3 linked regions of the Callithrix jacchus genome follow. The protein of the gene in region 1 purifies or fractionates together with the protein of each later gene. This does not show direct contact. Links are inferred from orthologs where the notes say so. Each region holds a gene or a part of one and is shown on either strand. Other genes may lie near its edges.

The links.
Region 2: the proteins of CLTA (region 1) and CLTC purify together in Homo sapiens (co-immunoprecipitation; 6 studies listed by BioGRID and IntAct, with this or other methods). This does not show direct contact. The link is inferred for Callithrix jacchus from reciprocal best matches to the Homo sapiens genes CLTA and CLTC.
Region 3: the proteins of CLTA (region 1) and CLTCL1 purify together in Homo sapiens (co-immunoprecipitation; 3 studies listed by BioGRID and IntAct, with this or other methods). This does not show direct contact. The link is inferred for Callithrix jacchus from reciprocal best matches to the Homo sapiens genes CLTA and CLTCL1.

Annotation. Positions count from the first base shown.
Region 1 is NC_133502.1:143,113,980-143,118,175, forward strand, and holds the start of CLTA (clathrin light chain A), read left to right. Parts: upstream 1-1,396; 5' UTR 1,397-1,506; coding exon 1,507-1,723; intron 1,724-4,196. UniProt on the Homo sapiens protein: Clathrin is the major protein of the polyhedral coat of coated pits and vesicles.
Region 2 is NC_133506.1:94,269,249-94,272,748, reverse strand, and holds the end of CLTC (clathrin heavy chain 1), read right to left. Parts: intron 1,236-3,500; coding exon 1,111-1,235; 3' UTR 201-1,110; downstream 1-200. UniProt on the Homo sapiens protein: Clathrin is the major protein of the polyhedral coat of coated pits and vesicles. Two different adapter protein complexes link the clathrin lattice either to the plasma membrane or to the trans-Golgi network.
Region 3 is NC_133502.1:210,864,360-210,867,859, reverse strand, and holds part of CLTCL1 (clathrin heavy chain 2), read left to right. Parts: coding exon 1-96; intron 97-432; coding exon 433-667; intron 668-2,012; coding exon 2,013-2,135; intron 2,136-3,500. UniProt on the Homo sapiens protein: Clathrin is the major protein of the polyhedral coat of coated pits and vesicles. Two different adapter protein complexes link the clathrin lattice either to the plasma membrane or to the trans-Golgi network.

The DNA of each region.
Region 1 (4,196 bases):
CAAGCAAAGAAAAAAATCCCCCCCCAAAAAAACAAGAACAGAGAGGGGGAAACAGAATCAAATGCAGACCCTAACATTTTAACTTTCTTAAATGTTTTTCTTCCATACTTTCCTATGGTTCAGACTTTAAATAACTTTAAAAGTAAATTATGCTTTAAATAAATACATATCCTTTTTTTATTTGCTTCATTTTTCCTTCATAATAACTATCCTTCCCTCCCTGTTTTTGTCATCAAAGATACGTGGTTTTTTTTGTTTTTGTTTTTTAAAAAACATTTTTTTCTGCCCTGCTGACTACCTCTGGAAGCTTCTTGTTGACCTCTGGTTGGTTTTTTGGTTTCTTTCTTTTTTTGGCTTTTCACTTTTTAGGGTGTTGGCAGTGGTGAAGGAGAAGGGTCCTTCTGGCGGCCTGTTCATAAGCACTCCTCAACATGAGCATGATTAACTGAAATCACTGTTATGCCTACGGTGTAGACAAAATTAGCCATGTAGCTATTAACATGTCCGTGATTAAAAAAAAAACACTGAACTTTCTTTTTCTTATTGTCCTAGTACCTTGGAAATCCCCAGGAGACAGGTGTTTCCTCTTGGTCACTGACTCCCTGGGTGACTGATGCCCCTCGAACAGCAGGGCCACTGTGTTTCCCTTTGAAGCAAGTGATCCTTAAGGAATTTTCCAGGTTAGTAATTTCTGTCTAGCTCTGAAAAGACGTAATGGCTGCAAAAGTGCTTCGTCAAAGAAGATAAGACATATTCAGTTTTAATAAAAATACTTATGGGGAGAAAAATTGGGAGTGGAATGAATCAATTACAGTAAATCTATGGGCTCCAAGGGAGCAAATAATCTAGGCTGGTTGACCGTTAAATATTTCAAAAAAAAAATTTTTTTTCCCAGAAAGCCAAGGCAAATTCAAATAGGATTAATTTTTTTTTTTTAAGTTTTCAATCTTCTAATAATCCCGGGAGGGGGGGCAAGAGCAAGATTCTTGTCCCCGTTTTACAAATGAGGAAACTGAGGTTCAGAAAGCCTAAGTGGCATGCCTCTTCAGTAATCGGCCAATCGTCGTCGCCCTAACTTCACCTCACCTCCCCGTGCAGCACTAGGGTCCCCTCCGGGGTGGCAGTCTCGGGTCAGTCCAGCTTCCGCAGGCCGGGAAGTATTGCCCCCTCAGGCTGCACTTCCGCCTCCTGGGGGCCCGCGCGGCTCACCTCGCTCACCTCCCGCGCTACCCAAGTCACGAGTTTTCTTCGGGGGCCCGCCCCTCCACTTGCTGATTGGGTAGCTTCTGAACAATTACTGTCCTCTGATTGGTTGTTCTCTTTTCGGCTCTCCAACACTGCCTAGACCGACCGGATACACGGGTAGGGCTTCCGCTTCCCCCTTCTCCCTCCTCCCGCTTGTCCTCCTCAGCCAGTCGCCACCACAGCGGTGGCTGCCGGGCGTGGTGTCGGTGGGTTGGTTGGTTGTCTCTCACCGTTGGTGTCCGTTCCGTTGAATTGCCCGCCATGACTGAGCTGGATCCGTTCGGCGCCCCTGCCGGCGCCCCTGGCGGTCCCGCGCTGGGGAACGGAGTGGCCGGCGCCGGCGAGGAAGACCCGGCCGCGGCCTTCTTGGCGCAGCAGGAGAGCGAGATTGCGGGCATCGAGAACGACGAGGCCTTCGCCATCCTGGACGGCGGCGCCCCCGGGCCCCAGCCGCACGGCGAGCCGCCGGGAGGTCCGGGTAAGAATGCGGGCGCGTTTGGGGCGAGAAGACTTGTCTGGAAACTCGGCCCAAAGTGGGCCCGAGAGCTTCTGTGTGACCCGTGTTCCTTACTGAATTAGGAGGTTACGCAGCAGTGCAAAGAGGAAATGAGACCCTGGCCCAGTCATGCAGAAACCTAGGCTGGAGAAGCCTGTTCGGTTCTCAGTTGTGAGTGCTTCTGGGCGCGGGTGGAGCGAGAAAGCAAGTATAGAGTGGCAGATGCCGGAGCCGGAAGAAGCCCGTTCATTTCAGCAACTTTTCATTAAGCACTTGCTGTGCCTTTAGTCCGGTCTCTAAATCAACCGCATTGGCGCAGTTTGTCCGGACTTTAAACAAGTCTGAGCCGAGCACGGAACTCCAGTTATTAGAAAAACAGGGCAGAAAAAAAATAAGAATGGAAATACCGTTTTTGAGAGATGCAAAAAAAGTAGCGTTGCAGTTCAACATTCAAGCTCTTCAGGTGAACATAATTTTGGATTACGAGAAGCGAGCATTGAGTAGGGAACTCAGGAAAGATGGTCTGGGTCTGGAGAAAGAAAGAACTGCCAAGCGGGGAAGGAGTTTACTATCGTTGAGCGATTGATTTACACCCAGGACTTCTGGAGCTCTTCCTCTGGGAACAGCTTTGGTAGGTAGTATTTATTGTCCAAGCAGAACCCAAGATTAGCCTAAACCAATCAGGGATGGATGAAGAGGTGAATAGAGAATGTTCTCAGCCAAACGCAAGTAAAAACGGGCAGGTAGGATGACAGTTTGACCTTTGGATGCCTTACCTGTGTGTGATGCTTAGGATCATGAGTGGAAAAGACCTATTTAATTACAGAGAAGTAGGAAATTTAGCCAGAAGAAATGAGATATGGCTTTTCATCCACTTAAAAAATTCCAACTAAGGGAGAATAGGGCACTACTGGGGCACTTAGGAGTAGTGTCCATACTACCCCAAATTCAAACCTTAAGGGGCTAGGTGGGTAACAGACACGAGAGAAGCTGGCTTGACATGAGACAGTAGAAGTGTTGGAGAAAAGGCATTTAGACCCAGCAGTCTCAAGTTACTATGCCAGCCAAGCAGAAACTTTTGAGGGATGTGGGGGGGGGGGGGTGCTGCTAGTTTGCAGTCTCTGAGTTTTTGACGGCACCGTGTTGCTTCCTAAGTAAATCAGTCCCCCAATAAGAACTTAAGGGGAATATGTAATATGCCTGAATATGCAACTTATAGCAAGTAGTTGAGCTGAACTGGGCTGTGATTGCAAGAGGAAGTTGGCCTTAAGTGATTAGATTAGGAGATATTTTTTCATTGGGTGGTCTTTAACATTTGTCTGGGAATTTTAAAGTTGACTTCTTAGATCCTCTGTGCACCTTCCTCATTTAGTACAAGAGAAACTGAATCCTAGAGAGAAGTGACTTGCTTAAAAAATCACGAGTTAATAGCTGAGCCCCAAGTCTACCCACTCTTAGAATGTACCACGTTCAGTTGCAGTGTTTAGTTGTTTCAGCAGGGGTGTGGTGTGATAAGAGGCATTTGTGGCTGTCCCACGTAGAACAGATTTCGAAGAAGCAGGACCCGAGATCTATAGTTGGAAGATTGTCCTGATTCAAGGACAGTGTTACTCTTACTGTTTGATCCCCACTACCTAGCAGTGTGTCTGGCATGTAGTAGATGCTCACGTTTGACAAAGAAATGGGCAGAAATGTCAGATCCAATGGTCCTATGTAGAACTGACAGATCTTGGTGACGGGCAGTTAGGAAAAGTAAAAGGGAGAGAACAGATTTGGATACTTAGGTCCTTTGTGTATCTAGGCTTCAGCAAAAGGAAGGAAAGAAATGGTTGCTGACTTAGCTCCTAGGAGGGACTTTCTCAGTGAACTAAGCATTTGTTGACTTAAAGCCAGATTCCTGACAGTGTAATTGAGGTTGGTAATGTGCAATGGTCAGCATTTCCTTTGGGGATTACAGAATTGGACACTTTTTCTCTCTTAGTTTTCTTTTTCCCTTTTTTTTTTGAAGATATGGTCTAGTGGTTAAGATTCTATGCTATCCTAAGCTGCTTGAGTGTGAGTTTCGCTTTGTGATTTCAGAAAATGCATGTAACTGCCACCAGTCTGGCCTCAGTTTTCTCCTTTGTAAAAGTTGCATAATACAATTTATAATGCTATGTGACATCTTTAGGATTACATTAAAAAGTGTCTATAAAGTGCTTACAGTTATATAGTAAGAATCCAGTGAATTCCAGCTACTGTTAGTGAGAGAAAGGTACAAGGCATTTAGGCTTTGAAGTGTACTGAAGAAATTTAGAGGTTTTAGGTGGGAGCTGTCTTTCTGATGTTATACAGAGATAAATAGACAGTCGCCTGTAACAGATTGATGAAAGGAAAATAAACCAGCCCTAGCCTTGTGGAAAACTCCCACGGAGGATGGGCACAGGCAAAAACCAGAGGGGTTAGGTCTGAGCTT
Region 2 (3,500 bases), on another chromosome or scaffold:
CCCACTATAGTAGTGACTGGTTCTTTAGACTATTGCATATACCTTATTAATGAACTACAGGAATGCACATTGATAGAATTCACAATGTCTTCTCATTCCTCTTCCTTTCATGCTTCCCTGTAATGCCTTAGTATCCAATCTAAAACTATAAAAACTACTATTCTTTTGGTTTGAGTGGTAATTAAAACTTCAATTCTATGTTATTTCCACAGTCCAGTAATTTATTTTAAATTTGAGTAATTTCAAATTCCACAAACAAAACTGAAGAACAGCAATATTTTGTTTGAATTTCTCTCTTCTGTACACTCAGTGATCTAAAACACCACAATATCCAACATACAGAAACCTCAGGGAAGGGTTAGTAAACACACACAAGATTGGAATCATGGTGCTCTTTGCTCCTGAATGGAATGGTCCCACAGAAAAAGCACAGGATACAGCACAACATAAGGGCACCTGTTACATATGAAGTGAGCAAAACATACTAGCATTTTCTATATGCATAATGGGGAAACCTGCATAGGTTAGAGGGCCTTTTATGCTCATTTAAAAATCAGGCAAGTTGTCTGTAACATTTTTCAAATTATCTGGAGAGCACTGCAATCCAATGTAGGATATGCTGATTGATTAGTGTTGTCTTTGTTGGCACTGACAGTCTTGCCAGTATTTTTGCTTTAGCTTTTCTCTGAATAAAACAGATTTAAATGCATTTAGACAATACATATTTGTAAGCTGTTTACATACACTAAATTTAAGAGATTCAATATTAGAGTTTCTTTGTTTCTTTAAACACTACAGAGTGCAAATCGGGTTCTTCACAACAGACTGAATATTAAGCAGTTCTTTTAAAGAATGAGGGGGAAGAAAAAAACCCCAAGTGAATAAAACATTGAAACTATTCCCCTCCGAAAATAAATTCTAAAATGATGTGGAATGTGAAATAAGGTTTTAACATAGGTGATCCAAAGTTTATAGTTAGAAACAAAAAAGGAGTCCTTCATGAAATAAAGGTTACAAGAACACGTTGCCTGTTTCCCCCATTATAAACAGAAGTGGGTAGAGACGATGTTTCAGTACGAAAATAGGTGGCTACAGGATCAGCTTTTCATCTCACATGCTGTACCCGAAGCCAGGCTGTGGCTGTCCATACGGTGGTGCAGTATAACCATAACCAAAAGGTGCCTGGGGAGGGACGGCAACACTGGGTCCTGCTGTCAGCATCAACTGGGGCTGACCTAAAGTAGAAGAAAACAAACAGAGCAGAGGGCAGGGGCAAGGAGGCAGGACAAATTGTTAGCATTTAAAACACTGCAATCTCCTTCACTCTAGCAACATAATCTCAACCTCGAATTCAGATGAGTTGTATGGGGGTCACATTTGGCATTGTGACAAATTGTCACAATTTTGGCATGACAGGCTTACTCAAAGTTCCTACCTAAAAGGCCAATAAACAGCGCAGGGCCAAAGGCCAGAACTACTTATGCCTGAACACAACATGCCTGATGCTCTATGCTTGACACATACCTAACATGCACATTATATTTCATGACACAATAAAATCAGCACAAGAAAACTTAAGTTTATTAAATGAATTTTTTTTTCTTTTAAAGACAGAATCTTTCCCTCTTGCCCAGGATGGAGTGTAGTGGTGCAGTCTCAACTCACTGCAACCTCTGCCGCCTGGGTTCAAGCAATTCTCGTGCCTCAGCCTCTCAAGTAGCTGGGATTACAGGTATGCACCACTATGCCCAGCTAATTTTTGTATTTTTAATAGAAATGGGTTTTTTGCCACATTGGCCAGGCTGGTCTCAAACTCCTGGCCTAATTATCAGCCCACCTTGGCCTCCCAAAGTGCTAGGATTATAGGCATGAGCCACCATGCTTGGCTTATCTGACGTTTTTAACAAAACTGAACTTTTAGAGTTAGATTTTTGATTTTAACATGTCTAAATGGCAATGAAACAAATTATTTCTAGAAGTTTCAGTACTAATTTAGAGACAGCAATTAAAAATAAGACACATTCAGGATGGGCGCAGTGGCTCACACCTGTAATCCATCACTCTGGGAGGCCAAGGAGGGCGGACCAGCCTGGCCAATGTGGTGAAACCCTGTCTCTAACTAAAAAATACAAAAAAAAAAAAACCCCCATGACCAGGCATGGTGGCATGGGCCTGTAATCCCAGCTACTCAGGAGGCTGAAGCAGAAGAATCGCTTGAACCTGGGAGACGGAGGTTGCAGGAGCTGAGATTGCACCACTGCCCTCCAGCTTGGGTGACTCCAGGGGTAGGGGGGAGCACATTCAGATATTCTTTAGGTATGAAATACATTAGAACATACACCCTCTATCGAATAATATGTTGACACTCTTTCTTTCTTTCTTAAGAAGTTTAAATAGTTGTTGACCATATGCAGAAAACATGACCTGTAGAGGACCTGGCTTAGAGAGCAAAAAACAAGTAATATCTCTCTCTACCCCTACAAAGTAAGTATTCTTAACCTCCTACTACAGTGTAAAAACCTAGATCAAGATTTCTCCTAACACAAGGGACTTCACGTCTTTCCTTTTTGTGGATAACAACCAAAGCTGTCTGTAGCAAACAAATTATTTTTGGAAACCAGTTTTTAAAAAGTCATCCCTAATCTTGATACTGACATCTACTTGAAATTCCAACCCAATTTTTAACTACCCATGAAAATACCCTGAAGGCAAGCCAAATTCAGCAGTTAACCCCCATGTATTACACCCACCATTTCTTGTTCCTACTGTGTTGCCTATCTCTTTCGCCTGTAAGGATTTGAATTGTTTCCTATCTTAAATAACATGTCAAACATCTTGCTCCCATCTCTAAGAACCCACTTTACTTTTATCAAAACTATCCTGTCCTCTAAATTCCTAAGGCACCTTTTGAGTACAGTAAAAAGGAGATAAAACCATAATAAATATCTATATTATTATTTGTGTCAGTAGCCTGAGATATAATGGTCATATTTTTATGTTCCCTCACGTGGTTATTGTGCTTCTGTCTATACTGTTGAAAGTGACTGTTCAAGAATCTGTTCACCAGCTCTATAATGGAAAGGGGCAGTAATTCAGACATACAGGTTTAAGACATGAAATTATCTTAAATGTTCACTTGAGAATCTGAAGATCCTATCTCTCTGGAAAGTTCTCAAGTGGAAATTCTACCCAGCTCTCTGGCCCAGTTAGAATTTAAAATGAGGATGTATTCTTTATGTAAAGCATACTAAAGACAACCTTGGGATCTTCTGTTACCTTTTGCTCTTTTGAAAATAGAATTCATCAATATTTCTTTTTCAGTGATTTATGAGCAGGTAACGAATGAGGGACCAGATGACAGGAAAGATTCATGTTACAATCTTAAATGACTGTTTTTTGAGTTTTCTTGTATTTAAGATTATTTTAGTAAATAACATCAACACACCTGCTTTACAACTGTTCTCAGAAAAAAATAAGACAGTAGAAAGGAGTTATTTCTT
Region 3 (3,500 bases), about 68 Mb from region 1:
GGATTGTTCTGAGGAAGTGATTAAACACTTAATCATGGCAGTGACAGGACAGTTCTCTACTGATGAGTTGGTGGCTGAAGTAGAAAAAAGAAATAGGTAAGGTGTCCTTACTTGTTTTCTCTTGCTTCTGGATTCTAGTATCTGTTGTTGTTTCTTTCTAATTCTCCAGGACTGTCTCCACAGTTGGTCATTCCTGTACACATCTTAGATGTAGCAATGAGTTACTTGCTCTTGGCACTGTGAAGACCTTGGGGGAAAACCTAACAGTAGAAATCAGTTTGGAAACCACGTCCATCTTGGTCCCTAGAGCAACCTGAAGTTAATGGACTCAGAGACTTTTTGTTTCAGGAAACAACTGTCAGAGCCCTGGAGTTGCTCTCAAGATTTCCAGTGGTAACCTCAAGACTTTACAGCAGCTTCCTTCTTTCAAAGGCTCAAGCTCCTGCTTCCCTGGCTGGAGTCCCGGATTCAGGAAGGCTGTGAGGAGCCTGCCACTCACAATGCACTGGCTAAAATCTACATCGACAGCAACAACAGCCCTGAGTGCTTCCTGAGAGAGAACGCCTATTATGACAGCAGCGTGGTGGGTCGCTACTGTGAGAAGCGAGACCCCCATCTGGCCTGTGTCGCCTATGAGCGGGGGCAGTGTGACCTTGAGCTCATCAAGGTGGGTAGCAGATGTGCTGGGCTGCCTGTTTAGCCCTGGCCTCCCAGGGAACCTTTCAAAGCTGTCCCTGTGGGGAGTAGATCAGGGCTTTCTGTGCACCTGGAGATGGCGGGTCATAAGATGTATTTCCTTGTGATTCTCACAGCTTTTGGGGACTTGCTCATACAATTTGTATGCATCATACCTGTAGACCAGTTGGCCCTGAACCTGACTCATCACCCCTCTACTGACAGTCCTTAGTGTTGCCTGGTAATTTGAGGGCAACATAGAACTCCCTGGCTGACTCATGAGCTCCTCTGTGGAATGCCACCTTCTCCCGACTCCCCAGCTTGATCAGCCCCTCCTCTTGCCACCCTACCCGAGGGGCCTGCAGTTCCTTGGGTGCTTCCCATCTCAAGTGCCCTTGTGCTTCATGCCCCCCTTTTGGGGTAGTCCTCTACACAAGCCCTTCCCCATCCCCTGACCAATGAGCTCTTGCTGGCCCCTCCTCGAAACATCTGCCCAGGTCCTTTGCCTGTGTCTGCCCAGGCTTGGATCCACATGTTTGTAATTACATGTTTAGGTTAAATTGTATGAGCTTTTCCTACCTAACCATTTGATCTAAAAATCCAGACATGAACAGGGCACCTGTGAGGTTGATGCCACACCAGCCTGCTTGGGCCTTTGCCGTGAAACACAGGCAGCCTGTGCTGCATCCACAGACACATGTGCAAGCCGCAGCCTTGTGCCTGGCATCTGGCACTCAACAGATCCCATCCTCCCTAAGATTTAGCAAGTGCTGCTCATGCTAGAACATTCCAGTGGACTCTTGCTGTTTTGGAGATTTGTTATAACATTCAGAAAAGGGTCTCCAGACACTGCAAGGCTTGAAATGTTGCAGTGTCTGCGCTGTTTTATACCAGTTCTAGACTGTTCTGATAACATTTTGGAGATGGTTTAGAGCTAGCTACATATGAGTACTTAAATTGAAGTAAATTAAAAATTACCAATTTAGTTTCTGTCACACACCACATTTCAAACGCTCAGTAGCCTCCCGTGGCAAGCAGTCGCTATATCACACAGAGTGGGAGACAGAGCATGTCCCTGATTGCAGGTGGTTCAACTGACCAGAGATGTGTCACACCCCTGGGAGTTGTTGTAAACTTGGAAAGGGCATTTTGAGGTAGTTTGAGTGCATTGTAACCCTGCAGGATGCTGCTCATCCTGTGTCAAAGCACAGCGTCTTGCCTGGGCCCGACTGCCCACCAAGCCAGTATCAGGCACACAGGGAACAAATTGGGGTGTGTCCTCCCAAGCAGCTTCCATTGGTTAACTGCTGTGTTACACACGAGTGTGCTCATTTCAGGTTTGCAATGAGAATTCTCTGTTCAAAAGCGAGGCCCGCTACCTGGTACGCAGAAAGGATCCAGAGCTCTGGGCTCACATCCTTGAGGAGACCAATCCATCCAGGAGACAGCTGATTGACCAGGTGAGGCACAGAAATGGCTATGTGTGTGCACCTGCATTTTGCCGTCTAGTCATTGTTGTGGCTCAAGTGACTGGTTTCATTTTTCATTTAAAACATCTTGGCTAGGTGCAGTGGCTCATGCCTGTAATTCTAGAAATCTGGGAGGTCAAGGCGGGTAGATCACTTGAAGTCTCAGGAATTTGAGACCAGCCTGGCCAACATGGTGAAACACCATCTCTACTAAAAATACAAAAATTACCCAGGTGTGGTGGCACACGCCTGTAATCTCAGCTACTCAGGAGGCTGAGGTGGGAGAATTTTTTTGAACCTGGGAGGCAGAGGTTGCAGTGAGCCAACATCATGCCACTGCACTCCAGCCTCAGCGACAGAGAGAGACTCCATCTCAAAAAAATAAATAGTCCAAGTGTGGTGACATACCTGTAATCTTCGCACTTTGAGAGGCCAAGGCAGGTGGATCACTTGAGGTCAGGAGTTCAAGACCAGCCTGGCCAACATCGTGAAACCCCATCTCAACTAAAAATACAAAAATTAGCGTGTGCCACCACGCCTGTAATCCCAGTAACTCAGGAGGCAGAGGCAGAAGAATCTGGTTAAACCCAGGAGGTGGAGGTTGCAGTAAGCTGAGATTGCATACCACCACACTCCAGCCTGGGTAACTGAGCGACACTCTGACTCTAAAAAATAAAAAATAACATCTTAGCCCTTATGAACCTTCTCCCCTGCAGAAGTAGCTTGCCTAAAAATAGCCTGATTCCCCAGGGTCAGCTGACTTGGAGTCACTTACTGGCCAAGGGCATAGAATTGCCCTTGAATCCAAAGCAGGATGTGCAGCCCCGGGAAGAGAGTACCTGGTGGCACGCCTGCATGCTGGGTCCTTGATTGTTTCTCCAGCTCAGCCTCTGTGGACAGAGGTTAAGTAGCTTTCTTGCTGACTAACTCTTTATGCCCCTGTGACTGTCCAGCACCTCCCTGGACACAGGGCAGAGTAGTGGGGCCAGGGCAGGTGGAAGTCTGCCTCAGCCTCTGGACAGGCTCCCACAGCCCTGTGGAAGAGCCTACCCTCCCATCACAGCCTCACAGACATACGCAGATAGTGCCTCAGCACTGTCCCTAGGTGCTGGGCATACTGTTTAAGGGTGGGCCAAGACAATTGTTGGAACAAAACCCTCACCCAACAAGTGGCTTCAGCCCTGAGCATAGGACCAGTTAAAACTCCTACCTCCCTCATCCATAGTGCCAACCTGCTGGACCATGCTTTCAGCTTAAGGGCTGGATTTGACCTTTATCTCTATGAGTTTTATCTTCTGGTTTTCTGACCAGTGTTTCCTCAAGTCTGTGCCACTATTTTTTTAAATAAATTTTTGT